Rattus norvegicus: one gene and its partner. The protein of the gene in region 1 interacts with the protein of each later gene in a pairwise test. Links are inferred from orthologs where the notes say so. Each region holds a gene or a part of one and is shown on either strand. Other genes may lie near its edges.

What was found.
Region 2: the proteins of Sumo1 (region 1) and Zmym5 interact in binary tests that used the Homo sapiens proteins (3 or more experiments, as listed by UniProt). The link is inferred for Rattus norvegicus from reciprocal best matches to the Homo sapiens genes SUMO1 and ZMYM5.

The regions. Positions count from the first base shown.
Region 1 is NC_086027.1:68,599,994-68,604,182, reverse strand, and holds the start of Sumo1 (small ubiquitin-related modifier 1), read left to right. Parts: upstream 1-1,379; 5' UTR 1,380-1,420; coding exon 1,421-1,432; intron 1,433-4,189. UniProt on the Homo sapiens protein: Ubiquitin-like protein that can be covalently attached to proteins as a monomer or a lysine-linked polymer.
Region 2 is NC_086033.1:35,054,037-35,058,215, forward strand, and holds the start of Zmym5 (zinc finger MYM-type protein 5), read right to left. Parts: upstream 2,807-4,179; 5' UTR 2,668-2,806; intron 2,553-2,667; exon of another isoform or gene 2,415-2,552; intron 1,471-2,414; exon of another isoform or gene 1,414-1,470; intron 1,279-1,413; 5' UTR 1,183-1,278; intron 1-1,182. UniProt on the Homo sapiens protein: Functions as a transcriptional regulator.

The DNA.
Region 1 (4,189 bases):
CTTTTGATGTGAATGTTCATATTTTCATTAGTAATTGTTAATAATTTTTTAATTTTTATGAGTGTTTCTGTCCGAATGTGTGTCTATGAACCACATTTAGGCCTGGTGCAGTGCTGAAAAACATATCAGATTCTCTGGGACTAGAGTTATAGGCATTTTTGAATGCATATACGGGTGCTGGGAATCAAACCTGAGTCCTCTGGAAGAGTAGCCAATGCTCTTTGATTGCTGGGCCACTTATAATCGGCTCATTACTAATTACAGAAAAGATTATTTTATTAATGTCTTGTACTGTGAAGGTTTTTGACTTACTTTAGTTTTCATTTTTCCCCCCTTTACTTAGTATAACCTTAATCTTCCCTGAATGTTTGTGCAAGAGGGTCACTGTATTCAAAGGAAGATGTTTAGGTCTATGATGTAAGGCAACTAGTTTATGAGCTGGAGGGAGCTCTTGCAACTTCAACTTTCAATAGCATTTTGGTCATCTATAGCCACCAAGACTTTGTTCTAGAGCTGGAGATGTGGTGGCCCAGGTCTTTAATCTCAGCACTGGGGAGGCAGAGGCAAGAGGAGGCCAGTCTGGTTGACTTAGCAATGTTCTATAATAGCCAGAGCTACTTAGTGAGACCCTGCCTCAAAACACAAAACAAAACCAAAGATGTGACCGGAAGGGTTGTTTCTTCATGCCCCACCCCTAGACTCCCACAGGGTTCTTCCATGTAGCCTTGGCTGTCCCGGAACTCACTTTGTAGACCAAGATGGCCTCAAACTCACAGAGATCTGCTTGCCTCTATCACTCGGAGTACGCCACCATAACTCAGCTCGTTGTGGTTAACTTCATTCACTCTGACATGCTAGTGGCTTCCAAATCGCTTTCACTTTCTCTCTTGTAGAAAATGAAAACTTGTTACTATTGTATTTCTAGTAATCAAAGTCATGAATGTGGCAGCAGCAAGCAAGAGGGGGCCATAAAGATATTATACAGGGAATTCACTATATTCAGGAAGAGTTGGTTCCGGCCTCAGAAGCGTACAAGATGTCCAACAGGGAGGAGCCTAAGCGGTCAGTTTGACCCCAAACACACACAGCCTGCAGGCAAAGCGCTGGTCTCCCTAAGGCCTGAGGCAGCGGGCCGGTTTTCCCGGCCCCGCTGAAGACCTAGCGGTTCTCTTGCTCCAGGAAAGTAGCTTAACCTTGACGATTTCATCTCCCGCATTCCCTAAGGCGTTTTCCCGCTTCCCTTTCCCGTCTTCCCAAACTCTCCTCTGCGCGCTGCGGAAGTGACGCAAGACGTAGCGGAAGTCCCTGCAGCCGCGGTGTTGTGCTGTGGAGAAGAGACGGATTTGTAAACCTCAGAGTGCGGTTCTGCCTGCCGGAGGCCGCTGTGGTGCGGAGACCCCCGGGTGAATCCACCGACACCATGTCTGACCAGGTACCGGGCCACGGCCTTGGGGCTCAGGGCCGTCGGCTGCTGGCTGAGCCCCTGGAATGGGGCGCGGGGGGAGGGGGTGATGTTGGGGGAGGGGGCTGCCGGTGGGGAGGGGGCCGCGAGGGACGCCGAGCGCCTGGCAGAGTCGGGCCGAGCCGCCTGGGATCGAGGGTCTCCGGGTTTTACGCACCCTCCGCGGCCCTTTCGGAGGCCTCTACCCCCACGCCATCCAGCGCCGGGTCTCTTTCGACTGCTCCCAGGTTTCTCTCGGGCTCGCTGGGGGCCCAGGCCCGCTCCCTTGTCCGTGAGAGCAACCTGGGGGAAAACGACCGTTTCCCTTTCAGAGGACCGATGGCAGAAACAAGGCCCTAGGCCCAGTTATGTAACGGGAGAGAATCCCTGCCTGGGAGGCTAGGTGGCCCTGAAAAGCAGCTCGATTCTACTTTGGGTTCTTGGTCCCGGAGAGTGGGGGGCGGGCAGGGATCCTTGTTTGGGGTGACTGGGAACCCAGGAGACGCTGCTTTTCAGTTGTGTTTGCCTGGAGGGTCAGTCCGTCTTTGCCCACTTCAGAGTCATTTTTCCATCCGGGGGTGCGGAGCGGTCGACTCTTTCTCTGTACTTTCCATTTCTTACTCGGGATTGGTCCATCAACTCTCCAGTTGTAGGAGCGCTCAGAATAACCGAGAAACAACAAACTGCGTAGAGTGCCACCACCAACATGCCATCCATACGGTTTTTGTCTGGCTTTCCTTTTGTTTGGTCAGATGACTTAATTTTCAGAGTATTTTTTTTTTTTTTAATTTTTACTTCTTTAGTTACAATTCAGCAAACTTTTTTCATTCTACTTTACATTGTAGTTGAGCTTTTTTAAAATTTTTTTTGTTGGTTTTTTTTTTTTTTTTTTTTTTGAGACGTTGGTTTTCTGTGTAGCCTGGTTGTCCTGGAACTCCCTCTGTAGACGAGGCTGGCCTCCAGTTTATAGAGATCCGCCTGTCTGTTTCCTGAGGATGAAAGGCTTGCAACCACCCCAGACTGGCCATAGTGGTTCTATTTTTATAGCCTATCTACACTGTAAATTAGTTGTGGGATGGATTTACTTATTAATAATCTGGATTATTAATCTTTTGGGCTAGAAATGACTTTATGAAGCCCATAATTTGTTTATGACAGTTGTTTACTTAGTTACCAGAGAGGAGAGATCAGCTGTGTAAACGCTTATGCTTCATCAGACTTCTATTTTTAAAGCATGTTAGCCAGATGAGAGGGCAACATACAGAAAGAGTTTTAAGTTTTAGGATTAGTTTTGCTCTAGTTTGAACTTACATTATGTGAGGATATGAAGAAAGAAAAGAGGACCCTAGGACACAAGGTTTCAGGGAGTCTGCAAAGTCACTCTATGCTTGCTTAGGACTCTCTCACCTCACTTGGGGTCTTTGGGTGCTGGACCTAGGGCCTCCCACATGTGCTTGCCAGGCAGGCACTAAACCCTCATTTCTCCTTTTACTTCATTTCATTAAGTTGTCTAGGTTGGACTGTAACACACTTGTCTTTGAACTTGGACTCCCTCAGCCTTGCAGAGTAGCTGGGATTACAGAGTTATGCTGCCACACTTGGTGTGTGTGTGTGTGTGTGTGTGTGTGTGTGTGTTTCTCATTCTATCATGGATGTTCAATGAAAATTTTAGAAACATGACAAAAAAGTAGAACAAATCTTTTTTTTTGAGGCAGGGTCTTAACTATGTAGCTTTTCCTGGCCTGGAACTCAGTTTCTCCTGTGTCTGTTTCCTGAGTGCTGGGATTAAAGATGTCTACCACCACAGTTGGCAAAACAAGTCTTTTTTTTTAAATTGAGCTACACATTAAAGCAATTTGCATAGGAAATAGTGCTGCTACTCTTAAAATTTTTGTCTTTAAAAAAAGTAATAAAAATGTATCTAACATTTTAGGGGTTTATTTAGTTCAAGTCAAGGGTTTCTCTGTGTAGCCTTAGTTGTCCTGGAACTTGCTATGTAGATCAGATTGGCCTCAGATTTTCCTTGCCTTGCCTCTGCCTCCCAGAGTGTATACCACCACGACAGCTGGGTTGATAGGTTTTTAAATCATTGAGAGTGTGATAATGGATTTGGGAGCTGTTGCTTTAGGCTGATGGATAACATTAATCTTAGTTCCCAGAACAAGTTCAGTATTGAGTGTTAAAGATTTGGAGAAAACGGTTAAGTGAATCCTTGCCTGTAAGAGGTTTATAAGTGAGAGTAGGAATCCCCAAGTACTGTGTGTAATAGCAACAGCCTGAGACTGAGCTGTCTTCAGAAGGTGGCCTTAGAGGGTACTTTTTCAAGTTGGGGGGTTCGATAATGTGCTTGACTTGAATACAAGATGCCCTCCAGTACCCATGCACATTTTATTTTCTGAGGCAACTCTTAGAAGCTTGTATCTTGTGCTTAAAATAGTCACATTGAGTAATAGTTTCAGCTTTTCTCTTTGTTTTGAGATGCTCTCACTGTGTATCTAGGCTGGCAGTGATCCTTCTGTTTTTACTTTCCTGAGTCCTGGGATTACAGGTGTATGTGTATGCCACTGTGTCTTGCCATAATTTCAGTTTAAAATGAGTGGATCTTTATATCTAAAATAGATCACAATCTAATGCCTAAACCTTGAGAATTCACTGAATTATGCAGTTTTTTTAAAAAGAAGGTACTATAGGTCCCATCATTGGTACATGATTTCCCAAAGAATGAGGATCATTCTATAACCATTAATA
Region 2 (4,179 bases), on another chromosome or scaffold:
CCTTTCATTCAATTGTAAGTTTTCAATGAGTTGTTTGGATTTGTGTGCTCTATGTTGTTTTTATCACAAAGATTGTTTTCAAATAATAAAACTCATGGTATTCATAGGCATTAAAAATTGCATCTCAAAATGAGCTGGTGTAAATTAAAAGCTTAATAGCAAAAAGGATGGAGATAGTAGAGTGCTTTGTGCTGGTAGTTTCCTTTCTTACCAGCCTGACACAAGCTAAAGTGGGGGGGGCACGGACGGACCTGTAGACACTATCAGACTGGCCTGGAGGCAAGCAAGCCTGCGGGTACAATCGATTCTAAGCAGTAGAAGACAGGCAGATGCACATGGTAAGCTACCAAGCAAGAAGCTTCAGTTTCTGCCCCAACTTCCCTTTATGATGGGCACTAAAATGTAAGAGAAGAGTGTGAAGGAAAATCCAGCTGCTGGAAGCATGGCTTGGGATGTCTCAGAGGGCAGCAAAGACTAACAGGGTCATTTGTGTGACATCATGAAAAACTGACTGGGATAAACAAGAAACCAGCATCATTGAGGTGAAAGCTACAAAGGGTCCAGTGCACACAGCGATTGGGAGGCACAGGCGAGTTTGAACTCATTCTACAAAGTGAGTTTCAGGACAGCCAGGACTACACAGAGAATAGCCATGCTCTTTTCTGTATTGACTGTGTATGGGTGTTCTGGGCTACAGGGACTGGCTGAGTGAGCCCTCTCTCCAGCTCCTGGCTTTGTACTTTTAAAGCAGAGGTTCTTAACCTGTAGGCAGAAACAGCTCGCACACATAGAAGTAAACAGACCAGAGCTGAGTATAAGATATAATCTGGCCACATAGCAGGAAATAACGCCAGTAGTCAGGTTAGAGTAATCAGGAGACTGCTTAGCAAAAGGAGTCCCCACACCAAGTGCAGTGCATAATTTGCTGTTTGGTTCTAAAGGATTCACTGCCCTCTTCTGGACTTCTTCAACACTGCACCCAAGTGGCACACAGACATATTTTACATCTATTCGTGTAAAATATACTCTTTTAAAAAAATAATCTGTGATTTGTTTTTCCTCAACCTTAAAACATGTCAGTAATTTAAAAAATATTTCCCGTTTATTTTAGATAATTATTTAGTGGTTTAAAAAATACAACAGCAGAGGGCTGGGGATTTAGCTCAGTGGTAGAGCGCTTACCTAGGAAGCACAAGGTCCTGGGTTCGGTCCCCAGCTCCGAAAAAAAGAACCAAAAAAAAAAAAAAAAAAAAAAAAAATACAACAGCAGAAAGAAATCTGGAAAGGAACACAAAAATGTTAAGTGCACAGCATCTTAGGAATAAGACCATAGTCCTATTTAGGAAACCTAGACGACAGCAATGTTATAATATCCACTAACACACTATAGGAAAGCTATACAAAATGACTCACAATGGAGATGTTTTCCTTATTTCTGCCAAATGCTTCTTTAGAGTGGCTTGAAAAATCCTAGAATAAAAGGAAATTAAAAAACAAAAACAGGGCTGGAGAGATGGCTCAGCGGTTAAGAGCACCCGACTGCTCTTCCAGAGGTCATGAGTTCAATTCCCAGCAACCACATGGTGGCTCACAACCATCTGTAAAGAGATCCGATGCCCTCTTCTGGTGTATCTGAAGACAGCTACAGTGTACTTATATACAATAAATAAATAAATCTTAAAAAAAAAACAAAAAAAAAAACAAAAACAAAACAAAACAAAACAATACACACACACACACACACACACACACACACACACACAAACCGTGAGCATCAACAGCTCTGAGGTAGCACCGAACCCTGAACGCCAAAGGAGGAAATAAATCAAGGTGAAGTTATTCCCAAACTGTTCTACCAACCTCCAAATAAACAATGGATATCAAGTATTAAAGAACGACAGCAGGCCAAAGCTCAATATATTCTTTCCAGTTTCGGAATTAGGAGTAGAGCGCACAGCTGAGCAGAAGAGTAAACGCTTCCTCCAAGCCAGCAAGGGGTTCATATTTCCCCTAAGCAGTTACAACTCAAGTACCAATCCGACCCGAGAGCGGTTCAACAATTGGGTCTCATCTGCCGCAAGCACTTGACCTGGGCCTAAGGTTCCTATTTCTCAGTTCAGCAACCCGGGACTAGCACCAGTCAGCCATTAGAAACTGGCCCAAACGAGATTAAAAGCTGCGACAGGCGAGAGCGAAAGAGAAAACGCTGCGGGACCTAAGCTGCCGCCCCCTAACACGGAAAACTTGGGGTCTCGGTCCGGCAGACAGGGAGGAGTGCGCCCCGCCAGACCGAAGGGCCAAAGGGCTCCTCCCCGGCCCGCCCGGCCTCAAGGCGGAAAGGAAAACACCCGGCGACCTCCGGCCGCCGCCGCCCGCCTCACCCAGCCCGCCCGGCCGCGCCCCCGCTCCTTTACCTCTCAGGCCGCAAGCGAAGCCGCCCAGGACATGAGCCCGGCCCTCAGCGCACCCGGAGGCCCCAACGCAGGAGCGGCGACGCCGGCCGCCCCGGGCTGCAAAACCCGGCTCGGTGGGAGGCTCCCGGCCCTCGCCCATCTCCGCCTCCCCAGTCGCCCCCGCCTCCGCCTCCTCCTCCCGAGGCTGCGCTGCTCCCAGCCACCCCCACTCTCCGCGGCCCTCGACAGGAAAGACAGCGGGGAGAAGCCTCACCCGGTTCTGGCTGCAGCTCCGCCGAACGAACCTACCCTCCCGCGGCCCACTCCCCTTGCGCCGCACAAACAACTACGCTCAGCTCCGTCCAGTACCGTCTTCAGCGCTGGTGAGGAGGAGGCAGAGGAGGCGGTAGAGGAGGCGGTGGCGCCGCGGAGTCCGGGAAAGGCCCGCCCTCCGCACGCTCATTGGCTGCTGGCGAGGGCGGCCCGGAATGCCTCGGGCAGATTCCATTGGCCCAGTCGGCCTTCTTTCAGGACCCTTCTCCGTGAGGTAGTCACTGCGGCTGTCCGTAAGCCGTGGGCCACGCCCTCCGGCCTGTCGGCCCTCCCCCCACCACCCCCGCGCCGCCTGTCCCGTGCTGGGCGGGCCCTACCTCCCTCCATCCCTCCCTCCCTCCATCCCTCCCTCCCTCCATCCCTCCCTCCCTCCGTGCCCCCGCCCCGCCCCGTCCCGCCCCCACTCGCGGGGTCTGCCCGGGTCAGGAGCCCGAGTGGTGCTGCATGCAGTACGCCTCGCGCTTCGGCCTTTGGGCTGGCGGTCTTCGTCGAGGCTTCCCGTGGGCCGGGGATCGGGACGCCAGGCCTCGGCCTCCAGACGGTCGCCGCGGTCCCCTGCAACTCTGCCAGAGGAGAGACGAGGCCTCTATGTCCCGGCATCCTCCCTATCCAGGCCCCCAAGGCCCGGGCGACTGGCGAGCCGGGCAGTGGCTGCGGCAGACCGAGGGGGCGAGCCCGGCCGCGGCTGGACTGCAAAGGCACTGGTGCGCTGGCGGCCGTGCAGGCGCTTCCACCTTGCCTGGCCTGTGGGAAGGGTGTCCCTCCTCCGCCATGGCTGTGGCGGGAGGAGATGTCGGCCTCCATTTTGTGGGATCTGTTGGGAGAACTTGGGACCCATCAGAACCGAAACCGTGGGGATGAGAAACTTGGCCCGGAACGGACCCGATCGCGCTCTACCGTAGGCCTTGCCCTCGGCCGCTAACGGCGTGCGCGCCTAGATTGCGGCGGGGCCACACGACGGTGCGGGCCCCAGACTCGCCTCCGGGCTCCCTTAGCGGGCTCGCGCCCCTGCAACCTAGACTGTCTGAACTCGACCGTCGGTGCCTGGCCGAGCACGCGCTCCCGGGCCTGCCCGGCGCCTGTCCTCCACGTTGACGGGACCTTGGGTCACCGCATGCTTTTCGCTTCAGTCCTGTCCCCGTGGGTAGTGACCCTCGCAGGGGAGTGCCACCGGGCGCATTCGAAGCGGAGCCGCTGGAGAGTGGCACGAGGGTCTTTTGTTCCTCTACACCTATGTCTTCCGCAGATGACATGGTGCCAGATTTCCAGGACTCCCTGGAACCTAAGAAATGCACCTCGCCCTGGTGGTTGTTAGTGGGATTACAACTGATGCCTTTGGCTTGGATTGAAGTACTTGTTAAATAGTATGTGAAAATATTTGACTCTTTCGGGACTTGGTGGAGCAAGCTTTTAGATCCAACACTCGCAGGCAGAGGCTGGTGAATTTCTTGAA